Saccharomyces cerevisiae S288C: one gene and its partners. Changing the gene in region 1 together with any one later gene gives a genetic interaction. Each region holds a gene or a part of one and is shown on either strand. Other genes may lie near its edges.

Evidence for each region. Genes that interact genetically often act in the same process or in processes that back each other up.
Region 2: mutations in ERR1 (region 1) and VIR1 together harm fitness more than expected from each alone (negative genetic interaction), as found in Saccharomyces cerevisiae (2 studies listed by BioGRID).
Region 3: mutations in ERR1 (region 1) and DSC2 together harm fitness less than expected from each alone (positive genetic interaction), as found in Saccharomyces cerevisiae (2 studies listed by BioGRID).

What each region holds. Positions count from the first base shown.
Region 1 is NC_001147.6:1,077,550-1,082,841, reverse strand, and holds ERR1 (phosphopyruvate hydratase ERR1), read right to left. Parts: upstream 2,567-5,292; coding exon 1,253-2,566; downstream 1-1,252. Other genes in the region: seripauperin PAU21, read right to left, coding at 1-124; HSP33 (glutathione-independent methylglyoxalase family protein), read left to right, coding at 3,584-4,297; FEX1 (fluoride transporter), read right to left, coding at 4,931-5,292.
Region 2 is NC_001139.9:426,692-431,859, forward strand, and holds VIR1 (Vir1p), read left to right. Parts: upstream 1-1,909; coding exon 1,910-4,639; downstream 4,640-5,168. Other genes in the region: OCH1 (initiation-specific alpha-1,6-mannosyltransferase), read right to left, coding at 1-113; PNC1 (nicotinamidase), read right to left, coding at 606-1,256; transcription factor MIG1, read right to left, coding at 4,857-5,168. UniProt on the Saccharomyces cerevisiae protein: Component of the MIS complex, a complex that mediates N6-methyladenosine (m6A) methylation of meiotic mRNAs and is required for initiation of meiosis, progression through the meiotic divisions and sporulation.
Region 3 is NC_001147.6:193,303-196,348, forward strand, and holds DSC2 (Dsc2p), read right to left. Parts: upstream 1,499-3,046; coding exon 530-1,498; downstream 1-529. Other genes in the region: YOL075C (uncharacterized protein), read right to left, coding at 1-240; THP1 (Thp1p), read left to right, coding at 1,668-3,035.

The DNA of each region.
Region 1 (5,292 bases):
CCATTGTATTTGTTTTGTTTGTTAGTGCTGATATAAGCTTAACAGGAAAGAAATGAATAAAGACATATTCTCGAAGGCATATAGTTGAAGTATCTCTATTTATACCTATTCCTTCATTGGTCATCACCACTTAAACGATTCGTTAACAGATGCTCCTTTAGCACTTCACATATTCTCCATATCTCATCTTTCCCACAACTTCATGATCACTATGAAGATGTTTTTGTTTTTAAACGAGGCATGCATCTTTATAGATTCTGTATGCGAAGGTATTGTTTTCTGGGGCCTTTGTCTATTCGTATGCGCCGAATGTGAGAATGCCAGTTATAGGGGTGCCGAGGTGCCTTATAAAACCCTTTTCCGTGCCTGTGATACTTCCTTTTTTGGTATAGCAGAATGTCTGAATTTAGTTGCTATAGATCCTCGTTCAGAAGCGTATTGCTAAGCCTATCTCCAGTATACCCTAAACGATCGCCGAGAAAAAATAATACTGTACCCTCCTATTTCCCGGAATTGTACAGAATAGTAGGTATGTGCTGGGAGTCGTATATTGTTAGAGTCTGTAATTTTTACGCGCGCCTAGTGGATTCGTTGATACGATTACGTTATTCTAAACCGTCGCAAAGCAAATTGTGTTGAAGTAATTCAAGACTTTAAATCACTTGTACCAAAATCATTGTTGCGAAAACTTATCCTCAGTATTAGTTTCTTGACCGTAACAGTAGTTGAAAAAAATAAAATCATTTCTATGATCGATACACTTTCATTATTTAACTTCTCTATTATGGTGTAACTTCTTACTTTTGTCAGAAAAAAAGATTTCAAGACACAACAAGAATGGGGTCAAAGGTCTGCTTGTACTATCAGGAAGATTTGATACCAACCGCGTTATAAGGGTTACTAGAAAGTAATAGCTGCTAAAAAATTTAAACCGAAGAGATTAATCAGAAAGCTGAAAAACTGCAGTGTTAGTAGAGTTGTAAGCATTTCTTGATTGGAACAGCCTTCCCCCACACGTCCACCCTTGTTCAGACAGATTCGTAATGATTTTGTGTGTAGGCAATGGAAAACTTTAAAAACGGTTTGATTTCCTACAAGATAAAACATATGAATAAAATAACTTGTGTCAAATGCCCCATTTCCATACTGTAACCCAAATCAACGAAATAAAAAATAAAACCTCATATGATTTACTTTATTTAGTCATAAAAAAACAAAAAAAAAAAAAAAAAAAAGGAAACAAGACAATCCTTTATAGTTTGTTTCCATCATGAAACCTATGACCAGCATATATACAATCGTCCCCCAGTTCCTCTTCGATACGCAAAAGTTCATTATACTTGGCCAGTCTTTCTGATCTCGACAAAGCGCCCGATTTAATTTGACCACATCTTAAACCAACGACCAAATCAGCGATAAACGGATCTTCGGTTTCACCTGATCTATGCGATATCATTACACCCCATCCAGCATCGAAAGCCTGATTGGCGGCTTCAATAGACTCAGTCAGAGTACCGATCTGGTTGAGTTTCAGCAACAGAGTATTCGCACATTTCTCCTCTATAGCACGGGCGATCCTGGTCTTGTTGGTGCATGTCAGGTCATCTGCAATAATCTGAACATTGACAGTCTTTAGGAAGGCAGACCACGAGGACCAATCATCTTCGGCGTAGGGATCTTCCAGGGAAATGATTGGGTATTTCTTTAGCAATGAATGGTAATATTCTGCTAACTGGGCTGGACTGAGCCAGTGAGATGGGTCAGAGTTCGGTTCCTTGAAATTTAGGTCGTATTTCCCGTCCTTATAAAAAACAGAAGGAGCACTATCGATTCCTACTTTCACTCTACCCTCGTAACCGCATATGTTAATGGCTTCCACAATCATGTCCAAGGCGTCTTCGGCAGTGTCAATATCGGGGGCAACTCCACCCTCGTCACCAACATTTCCAGCGGAAGGTCCATATTGCTCCTTCGCCAATATCTTCAAATGATGGTAAACTTCCGAACCCATCCTCATGGCTTCTGCAAAGCTCTGAGCCCCGACTGGCGCGATCTTGAATTCTTGCATAGCTAAAGAGCCACCGGCGTGGGCTCCACCATTCAAAACATTGAAAAAAGGAACAGGAATAACAAAGGGGTCCTGTCTAGCATCCGCTAACTCGGCTATATACTTGTAGAGAGTAATTCCCTTTTGTGCGGCAGCAGCTCGAGCAACGCACAAGGAAACACCAAGGATAGCATTGGCGCCCAACCTTGACTTGTTAGAAGTTCCGTCTAACGATATCATGAGCTCGTCTATGCCCTTCTGATTGGTTACACATAATTCGGACTTGATTAAAGCAGGCCCTATGATACTATTGACGTTACTGACTGCCTTGGTCACCCCTTTTCCCATCCATTCGGACTTGTTCCCGTCTCTAAGTTCAACAGCTTCGTGAATGCCGGTGGAGGCACCAGATGGGACGATCGCTCTGAAGAGACCATTCTCTGTTGTAATTTCAACCTCAACAGTCGGATTGCCGCGAGAATCATACACCGTTCTAGCATGTACCTTCGTGATGGACATATTTTTATCGTTGAGATTCGATTTTTTCCTCACCTTGTTTTGGTATTTCTATTGCAAGACAAAGTGAAAGAAGAAGAAGTGGTGGTAAAAAATAACTATATATAATGAAAATTGTAACCTGGTGGGAGTGCAAACTGTAAGTGATAACCTGCCAGATCCATGTTTCTATTATATACCTAAGAACCAGCCAAGTTAGGTAAACGAGGAGTCTTTCAATATCTCTTTTCTAGTGAGAATGTTATTTAGGTAAATGAACAAGTTACCACTATACTACTCACCCCCTACACTTTGTTTGTGACCTCTCCCCTTATCCAGTTCATCGAAACTTTTTTTTCAACTTGTGGCGATCTGTGACATTGTCTACTACAAGAACCGATTTTGGTTGATGTCTGTAAAAAAAACAACCTTACCTTTCCAGATCCAACTTTCCAGGAGAGCTGCGTGAGTTTCAAATATTTACCATGTCGGAGAAAGCTCCCAAGTACTTCCTTGTTCTTGTCATTTTTTCCTTATCTCCATCCTTTAAGGAAGGTATTTCCATTATGCGATTCTATAAATCCGAGCATGCGAGTATTTCTTTTCTTGGCGCGGAGTCGCTGATGACGCAATAGGCACATTCACGAACATCCAGGACTGGTAATCTTCTCGTCTTAAAGAAAATCCAACCACCAGTAAGAAACTCTTGGGTAAAATGGGGTATCTGAAATATTGCATAGCTGCAAATGAAGATATTCAGTATCAGCATAGGTATTTTTATGGAGGATAGGTAAAGAGAAAGAAAAAAAAAAATATCTTTCTGACTGTCGTTCTTGCAATTATCACAATTAGGGGACTTTAAAACCGATACTTGATATATGAGCACAGTCAAGGGGTCGGTTCTTGAGATTTTAATGGAAAACAGGAAAGTTGCACATACAGGTCTGCTTTTCTTTGCTTGCTCCAGACAACGATACTTAGAACTAAAACATATTTCTAGAACACTTTTCTCCTTCATTCAAAAAGAAAACTGGCCTTGCAATGACTCCAAAAAGAGCGCTAATATCTCTTACTTCATACCACGGTCCCTTCTACAAAGATGGTGCGAAAACAGGCGTTTTTGTAGTTGAGATTTTGCGATCGTTCGATACATTCGAAAAGCATGGTTTCGAAGTGGACTTCGTTTCTGAGACTGGTGGATTTGGCTGGGATGAACATTACTTGCCAAAGAGCTTTATTGGTGGCGAAGATAAGATGAACTTTGAAACGAAAAATTCCGCCTTCAATAAGGCGTTAGCGAGGATCAAGACCGCAAATGAAGTCAACGCCAGCGACTATAAAGTATTCTTTGCATCTGCTGGACATGGTGCTCTATTTGACTATCCCAAAGCTAAAAATCTGCAAGATATTGCATCCAAGATATATGCCAATGGGGGTGTGATCGCTGCCATCTGTCATGGACCGCTCCTTTTCGATGGATTAATAGATATCAAAACAACAAGACCATTAATCGAAGGCAAAGCTATAACAGGTTTCCCACTCGAGGGTGAAATCGCCCTGGGAGTTGACGACATCTTGAGGAGCAGAAAATTGACAACGGTTGAACGCGTTGCAAACAAGAATGGAGCCAAGTACTTGGCGCCAATCCATCCCTGGGATGACTACTCTATTACAGATGGAAAGCTAGTTACGGGTGTTAACGCAAATTCTTCCTATTCGACCACAATTAGAGCTATAAACGCATTATATAGCTGAAACAAAAGACAAGGGAATTGTTGAAGGGGAGGCTTTTAATGACTTTCAGTTTCTGTGAAGAGAAGGCTAACAGCTCAATGGTTCGAAAGGTAAAGAAAACGGCAGGTCGGTAGCACTCGATTTTGCTAGAATGGAAATCATATAGAGAACAATTGAATAGTAGGCCTTGGTTTTTAGTGTTGTATTCATCATGGTCATATGTGACATAGGTAATGTACATATATATATAAAAAAAAAAAAAAGCAATGCTGTGAGATCATTCGTTACTTACGAAATACGCAGATTGCAATTTGAAATAAGCTGTGTTTTCTTTTTTTTCCTTTTTTTTTCTTTTTTTTGGCTTGTTATATACAACTTTTTTCTATTTCTGTTCTTTTTATGAGTAATTAATTGGTACATGGGAAATAAATATGAATTATATTAAATGAAGTAAAAGTAAAAGAAAACGGGGAAATTTATCGTTTTGTAGTAAATAGATGATGGAACGCATTCATAAAATCTCACAAAATATTACAATAAACCGCAGTAGTGGGTAAAAATGTATTATACAACGTCTAAAATCTTGAAAATGAATTAAAAAAAAAAAAAAAAAAAGTGGGATGATTATGCAGGGAAAAGTATAAAGAAAAGATCCTAACAAATCGGGTTGGTCAATCCTCTAGTCCAAGCATAGGATCCGAGAGTTATCACCAATAAGCAATATGAAATTGCAATCGAAACAGTATAATAAATAAGCATGTTAATAAATGATAGCTTATACCCTTCATTGATAAACGTGCTAATGGTACTCAAAGTGCCGCAAAATCCGGATATTAACGCAGAAACAATATGACATGAATTCAACGAGTTCACAATTGGAACGTCCGTAGAAAAGTGTTTTTTACCACGTTGCACCATGGTAAATATGCCAATCAATAAAGTGGCGAAAACGTTTGCCAAGAAAGTACCCAATGGAAACTTTTTGTTTGTTTTATTAAACATTTCTGCCAACCAAT
Region 2 (5,168 bases), on another chromosome or scaffold:
AGCAGCCTTTTGTTTGACAAGTGAAATGTCAACAAAGAATAAATAAGAAGTACGGTTACGACTATTGTTTTTGATTTCCTTGTAGCGATCAGGTGGGACAACTTCCTAGACATGATCTCTTCTTTCTTTTACTTGCTTTCTTTTTCCAAATTGCTATTATTGCTCTTGAAATGAAAACGGAATCAAAGAACTAAAACAACCTATCCCTATTAAATATAAAAGGATGCAGATGGGGAGAGAGAATGTGGATTGGCGAGAAATAATGTCGGTATTCGAAGAAGGCAGAAATACTAAAGTGGCTACCAAGCTACCAAACTACCTTAATGCAGAAGTTTTGACGTTGCTGTCCCTGCAACGTGAAAAGTCCAAAAAGGCGCGTTTAGTTGAGGCCCAGCCAAATCTTTTCGCGGTGGGCCGGCCAAATAGTTTAAGCAATTTACCCAAAAAAGAATAAAGAGAGGCGTAAAGACGTTAGTTAATATTTTATTATTCCTTCTCCATATGTCGGAATTCGGTGTACATACATATATATAGATATTGTTATATAGATTTGTGCATTTGCAAGCCACCCTAGTTCATCAGGTTGAAGAAGTATTATTCAGCTCTTATTTATCCACGACATTGATGTTGTGGGCCTTCAACTCTTCCTTAACCTTATTGATGACTTCGGGATCATCGCTGATGGGTCTTGTGTAATCCAGCAGGACAGTGGTCTTATAACCTAGTTCTGCAGCGGAAATGGCGGTGGCTTTGACACAATACTCCAAAGCTACACCGACAATGTAAACCTCGTCTGTATGATGCTTTTCTAAGTACTTGTTCATGTCGGTCTTATGGAAGTTCCAGATGTCGTGGAAGGCGGAGTAGTATTCACGGTCAGTCAAGAAACCCTTGTCGACAATCTTAATATGCTTAGTGACCACTTGGTCCATTATTTGGTCAACCAATTGACTACCCCAGGTGTTTTTCACACAGTGTACGGGCCACAAAATACCCTCTTGCGTGGAATCATCGCCTGGCCTTGGAGAGTGGTAGGTGTATGTTGAATAGGGTTCTTTATCTTTATGGTTCTTTGCGAACGAAATATGTCTGGAAGGGTGCCAATCTCTGGTGACCACAATCCTGTGCCAGTCTCTATCAGCATCTTGCATCAAATCCGAGATAGGATTGATTAATTCCTCACCTTTTGGAACAGTCAAGGAACCTAAAGGTGAAATAAAATCATTTTGCATATCAACAACAATTAAAGTCTTCATTTTTGTACTGTATTTTATTCTTTCTAACAAAGATATAGATAATCGTAAAAGAAAGTTTTGTTTGAAGGTTTCCTCACCTATTGCATCCAACCAGGTACCAGTTAAGAGTACATTGTATATGAAAATATATATATGAGTAATATATATATATATAGTTTTATTAATAACTATTAGCACATCATAATCGTATCTGGAGACACATACATAGTGGGCCAAACGGAAACCCCTGCCCCTTGAAGAACTTTTTTTTCATAATTCACTTTTCCAGTACGTAACACCACGCGGCGCCCCTTTGTGGGGCCTGCCCCTTTTTTTTTTTCTTTCTTTTTTTTCGGAAACATTCCGCGAGATTTCGGCACGTCCCAAATGATATCGAGCTAACACGTATAAAGCGATAACGTATATAACGACGTATGATTTTAGCAACGGAAGACGTTAACAATGACATATGGATATTTATTTATATATATAATATAAAAATTTCATTACCCTGTGTGCCACCTTGATCCTTGACTTAATATATTTTTTTCTGCTTGGATCTCGGCGGCAGTTTTTTCTGTTTCATATAAGGAGGATCGTAGGGAAAGAGGAAAACAAAAGGCATAATTAACCAATAGCAACAATATAAGCAGTACAGAACCCTCACCACCAGAATGCAGAAGTGTGCTGGCCATGCACCACTGGTGACTGCAGCCTCGCGGGTCTCCCAAGACACCGTAGACGCTCTTTTGCAAGCTATTTTAAAGGCCTACCATAAATTAGCTTCGATCGACAGTCACATTAATGATCCTGTTGAAATAGCCTTCAAGCTCATAAACTCTTTTAAGTATCTGCCAATTTCAGGCTCTTCTGTAAAAGATTTTGAGTCGGAACTGCGGGAGTTAGACGTTTTTTCTCCCCTTTTGCAGTCAGCCGTTACTGCTGCTAATAATAGCAATATCATATGGGACCTTATAGCGGTGTTATTTGCATACATTTCCATCCATAAACAGCTCCATCCTTTGATCCTGCACAATCTGAACATATGGAAGGATTTTATGGCAGATAATGACGAAGAAACGGCGACAACCACGGACGGGGACTCAATGAATTTCGGCGTACTGTCGCTTCTTTCCATTGTTCAAAATTTTGAAGAAATAACGCCAAATCTATTTGAGTTTCTAAAGCTCGGTTTGAGATCCACTTTACTCAAGATATGGGTAGCACAATGGCAAAGATACGATCCTTCGGCAACGAACTTAATCAACGGTGATGAGAAAATTTCTAGCTGGATAACAAAGGATTACCAGGTGGATTTTTTTATCATCACTTCATTAGCATCAACGTCCTCATTAGAAGTTTTGCCATCTCATTATTTTGTGTACAAGATCTCTAAAAGGATCTCTCACTTCCCAAATTTAATTGATCCTAAACTATATCGATCTGCAATTTCTACAATAATGGAAAATGGGATTTCAGACAATGGTGGTGGTGAGAACTCCAGCGACAAAATTGATCCGACTGATTTGTCCTTTCACTTACAAGTTTTAATGGAAGTTATTGACCATCCTGAGTTGAATTATTTGCAGGAAAATCGATTAATTTTGTTGCTCGACATTGCATTAAATTATTTAATCCTGGTTCCTACTCACTGTTTACATTCAAACTTTGGTGAATTGGGCTCTACTCAAAGTTTAGCATCCACTTTAAATATCATTCAGTTCCTTCTATCGAAATTCTTAATCAACATGGGCAGTATTTCGCAATTAATTAATCAATACAACAGGAAATGCATCACTACTAATAACATCAATAATAACAACATTAACAACAATGGCGTTATTAATGGTAGTACTAACACCACTAGTACTACTACTACTACCATCACTAATAACAATAATAATAGCAATAATAGCAGTATTAGTAATAATAACAGAAAAATAGACTGGACGCAATCATATCAAACGAGGTACCAAATTCCATACTGGTTTGAGGACTCAATTTTGCCACCAATTCCGCCTATTTCGAAATCGCTTTTCACTTTTGACAAGAACCTAGACCATGAGTCGGATTCAATTATGATTGTAAATGATGTATTACGCTGTTTGAATTTAACCATTCTTTTAATTTCTAAACTTCTAAGGGATTATGATGACCTGAAGATTAACCCACTAATTCAATCATCAGATGATCACAGTAATGAAGACAATCATGTGATAATAGAACAATACATGCAGCTTTATCTCGTTCCATTATTTACTTCATTATTATTGGCCCAACAATTAAAAGACCGAGGCCAAGAACGAGATGAAGGACATAAAGAGAAAGAGGAAAATATAAATCTCATCGGGTCTTCCTCAGTCAAGAAATTATTTTCTCAACTAATTTTTTTTAGCTCTTTGAAATTGTGTGAAAATTTGGTCATAAAGGAAAAAAATTTAGCACTATATCATTTGATCAAATTCGCGACAAAGGTTTCTCTGGATGATTTGATTTTACAAAAAATATCCATAAACTTATTGAATCATTTGTTCTTCCATCAAATTAGGGATGGAAGTGATGATGATAATTTAATTAAAAAGTTATGTTTAAAAAATCAACTTTCTTTCCAAGCTTTGAAAGATTACATCACATTGTGGAATGACGGTTCTGAAGTTTATAATGCATTTTATAAGGAGCTTTTCTATGAAGAGCAACCAAAGATTAAGCCAATAAAACTAACAACATCTGACTTGCTGAAATTATTCCCTGAGGATGTTCAATTTGTGATATCCACTCCACCAAATACAATAACTTCAGCATCAACAAGCGATAATTGTACATCATCACAATCAGCTGCGCAGAAAAATATTGAAAACTTTACTACGTTATCGAAGTACGATGTCTACTCGTCCACATCTTTCATACCGTCCACGTCGAAAAACACTAACACTAACGTTAGTAAGCAGCAGCAGCAGCCTCAAAACTCTACTCCATGTTCTTCCAACAGGTTTTTGTTCAACAAAAGCAGCCTAATTTCTCAGGAAAGTAATGGTAGCAACAATAACAGCGGCACACAAGGACCTGGTTCCATGAATGAGAGTTATTCTCTTGACAATTCATTCAACACAACCAATACCAATATGACGAGACAACCAACCACCTTAACTAGAGCAACCGATGCTATGACTACGGCACCTACGACACCAATTCCATACAAGAACACTAGTGGAAGCAGCAATAACAATCTATGGATTGAATCGCCCATGACAAATTTCAAGGGTTCCACCATCAGTAAAAGTACTAATAAGAGCAAAATGGTTAATACTGGTAAAAATTATATTTTAGGGGGCCACAATAAAGTTAAAAACAACAGTAGAGCTCAATCAATACATATAGATGACTTTGAAAATGAGAACAATTAATTATCTCTGCGGAAGACTAAGACAATCAAAATATGTATTCTTACTATCATAATTAAATATTTTTATCGTTATTAATTATTATTATTATTACTATTATTATTATTATTATTATTATTATTATTATTATTTATTATTTATTAATTATTAATTGTTAATATTATTAATTCTTGTCTATTGTCTTTTGATTTATCTGCACCGCCAAAAACTTGTCAGCGTATCAGTCCATGTGTGGGAAGGGCAACGGTAAACTTCTTATGGGTGGTAATGTTTCCAGTTCTTGAACTTGTGAATCCGACTGAGAAATGGGGGTTTGTTGGGTGGATATAGCAGTATTAATCATATTCACCCTTGGTGACAATAATAACGGGGTTGTACTTAACGAACTACTGGAAGCCATCATTTGATTTTGATTTTGATTTTGACTTTGGTTTGACGTATTTTGTGATTGCAGTAGGGTATGTTGCTCTTGCTGCTGTTGTTGAACGTTCAGTAATCTGTTGTTCAACTCCTTTTGGAAATCAGGAGATGA
Region 3 (3,046 bases), 890 kb from region 1:
ACTGATCTTGGATGCCAGAACATTCAGCAACGTAGTCTTCCCTGACCCCGAACCACCCATAACTGCCATGACCGACCCACTGGGCAGGTCCATGGAAAACGTATTAACTAGCGTCGTATTTGTTTTGGATGCAACGATTGACAAATCCCTTACATGAAGGCTTATTCTAGGGATTCTTGAGAAGGAAAGTCTATTTTCGATTAATTCAGTGGCCACATCACCATTCTCCTGCTGTGACATAGTGGCTGCAAGTGGATGTTTGGCGTTGGTGATTGTAGCTTAAAATACGATGATCGTTTGAAAACTGCCAAGCACTTGTGCCTACTTCTGCATTTACATCACAAATTCGTTTATCTCATCACTAGATCCTTCCTTTTTTTTTTTTCACTTTCTGATATTTCGTATAAGTGTCAACCCAACAATACTAAAGCCAGACATATGATAGAAGTAACTGCCTCACATGGCTGTAAACGATGTTGCTAAACCGTTGCTATGTTTATTTGTTTATGTAGGTATATGCTGATATAAATCATCTCCTAAAGGTATCCAAAAATTGGACTCCCAGTGGTCTTGCAGGTTCATCGGCACCAGGCTCGTCATCACCAGCGCTAGAGGTATTTGTAGGGGTGGTGCTTGAACCACGAAGCGGTAGGCTTGTAGGCCCAGAGTTGCCTGTATTTCCATTTCCTGTAGCAGCAGTAGCTGCTTCTACAGTGGCTCTTGCTGCTGCTGTATTCGTGGCCGCATTGGCCGCTATAGCAACGTTAGCCCTCGTGGGTGGGCCTTGAGAGATGAAATAGGATACAAACGGTATTCTCCAATGGTCTAATCCCGGTAACAGGCCCTTATCGATGAAAATACCACACATCCAGCTTATGAATCCGCATAGTATTCCTGCAAACCCCTGATTTAATATAAGCAGGAGAATTAACCCATTTAAAAGAAACTGATCGTTGATTTTCCACTCTACGGCGCTCTTGTCTTCTCGCTTGTTATCATTGTGACTTGATGCTCCTCCTCGAGGTCCTAGTAATCTTATATTCCATTCGTAAATCTGAGGGGTGTATTCTTTGTAAAAATGTACTAAGCTTAAAACAATGGGCAGTGAACCTGTACTAAAATTGTTCCATTGAAGCCACTTGTACTGTCCAATAAATGCGTTCCAGATCAGATTCAATCCCCAAATTCCTAAGGTGGTGTAGGCCCATGACAAAACAATCAAGGTCAAGTACTTGTGGGATCCTAGTAGCCGTTCTAAATGCCTAAACAGATACCATATCAACGCCAGTATTACTGTATCGGATTCATTGATGGCGCAGAACTGGAATATGAGCAGACGGTAGTATTGATGGTAGGTCTGCAGAAAAGGATCATATTGCAATAGAAATATATGTTTGTAACTTGCAATCGAGGCAACTAAGGGAACCACAAGCGTCGTGATCATGGCTAGCTTGGTGACGGGCATAGCCGTAAGCCCCACAGGAGGCTCCATAGACATTATTTGTAGACTATTGTGTTTGCTTTTTATGTCGTTGACTTTCTCTCCCTTTAATAGTTAAGTTTATACGTCAAATTTCTCTTCTATACTTTTCCAAAAAAAAAAAACCATCTTCACATCAATGGCATTCAAAGTAAGAAACAGGGCAGGGATAAAAGGATAGATAGCAATGGACATGGCCAACCAGTTGCTAGATGAATTAGCACATGGAAATTTTTCCCACCTAACGCTAAACTTGTCCCAAAATGGTAGGGAAATTGCTATCTTACAGAAGCAATTGACCGGATTTGATGATAAACAGCTAGAAACGTTTGTAGAACAACACCCGGCTATGCCCAATGATACGAGATTCAAAATCATGTGTACATCCTTTTTAAATTATGCCCGAGATGTCGACCCATGGTCAGCCTGGTCCAGTTCGGATCTAATTTTTGAGTTTTATCAATGTTTAATCAACTGTCTCATCAACGACAATGCTCCTCACATAGAAATGTTGATACCAGTAGCAACTAGAGAAACAGAATTTATCATCAATCTCGCTGGGAAACTAGACTCTTTCCACTTGCAACTGCATACGAGAAGTCACCAATTTCTATCACATATATCGTCCATCCTATCAAGACTATTTAACAGCATCAAACCTCCACGAGGTAACGCATCTTCTACAAATATACCTGGAAAACAACGAATACTGCTCTACCTGGTCAATAAACTAAATAACATCTACTTCAGGATCGAGTCACCGCAATTATGTTCCAATATCTTTAAGAACTTTCAGCCAAAAAGCATGCTTGCACATTTCAACGAATACCAGCTCGACCAGCAAATAGAATACAGATATCTATTAGGAAGGTACTACTTGTTGAACTCTCAAGTACATAATGCCTTCGTTCAATTCAATGAAGCTTTCCAGTCCTTATTGAACTTGCCGTTAACGAACCAAGCGATCACTAGGAATGGCACCAGAATACTAAATTACATGATCCCTACAGGGCTGATACTGGGAAAGATGGTCAAATGGGGACCGTTGCGACCGTTCCTTTCCCAAGAAACAATTGATAATTGGAGTGTTCTCTACAAACACGTACGTTATGGGAATATTCAAGGCGTGAGTCTCTGGCTGAGACAAAACGAGCGTCATTTGTGTGCAAGACAGTTACTGATCGTGCTCCTAGAGAAACTGCCCATGGTAACGTACAGAAATCTGATTAAAACGGTAATAAAGTCCTGGACCACCGAATGGGGTCAGAACAAATTACCGTACTCCTTGATAGAACGGGTACTACAGCTATCTATTGGTCCGACATTCGAGGATCCCGGCGCCCAGGAAATTACCATTTATAATGGCATTCACTCCCCCAAGAACGTCGAAAACGTACTTGTGACACTGATTAACTTGGGACTTTTACGCGCAAACTGTTTCCCACAGTTACAACTGTGTGTAGTGAAAAAGACTACAATGATACAAGAGATTGTTCCGCCGGTTAATGAACGAATCACCAAGATGTTTCCTGCCCATTCTCACGTTCTTTGGTGATATGTAGATAT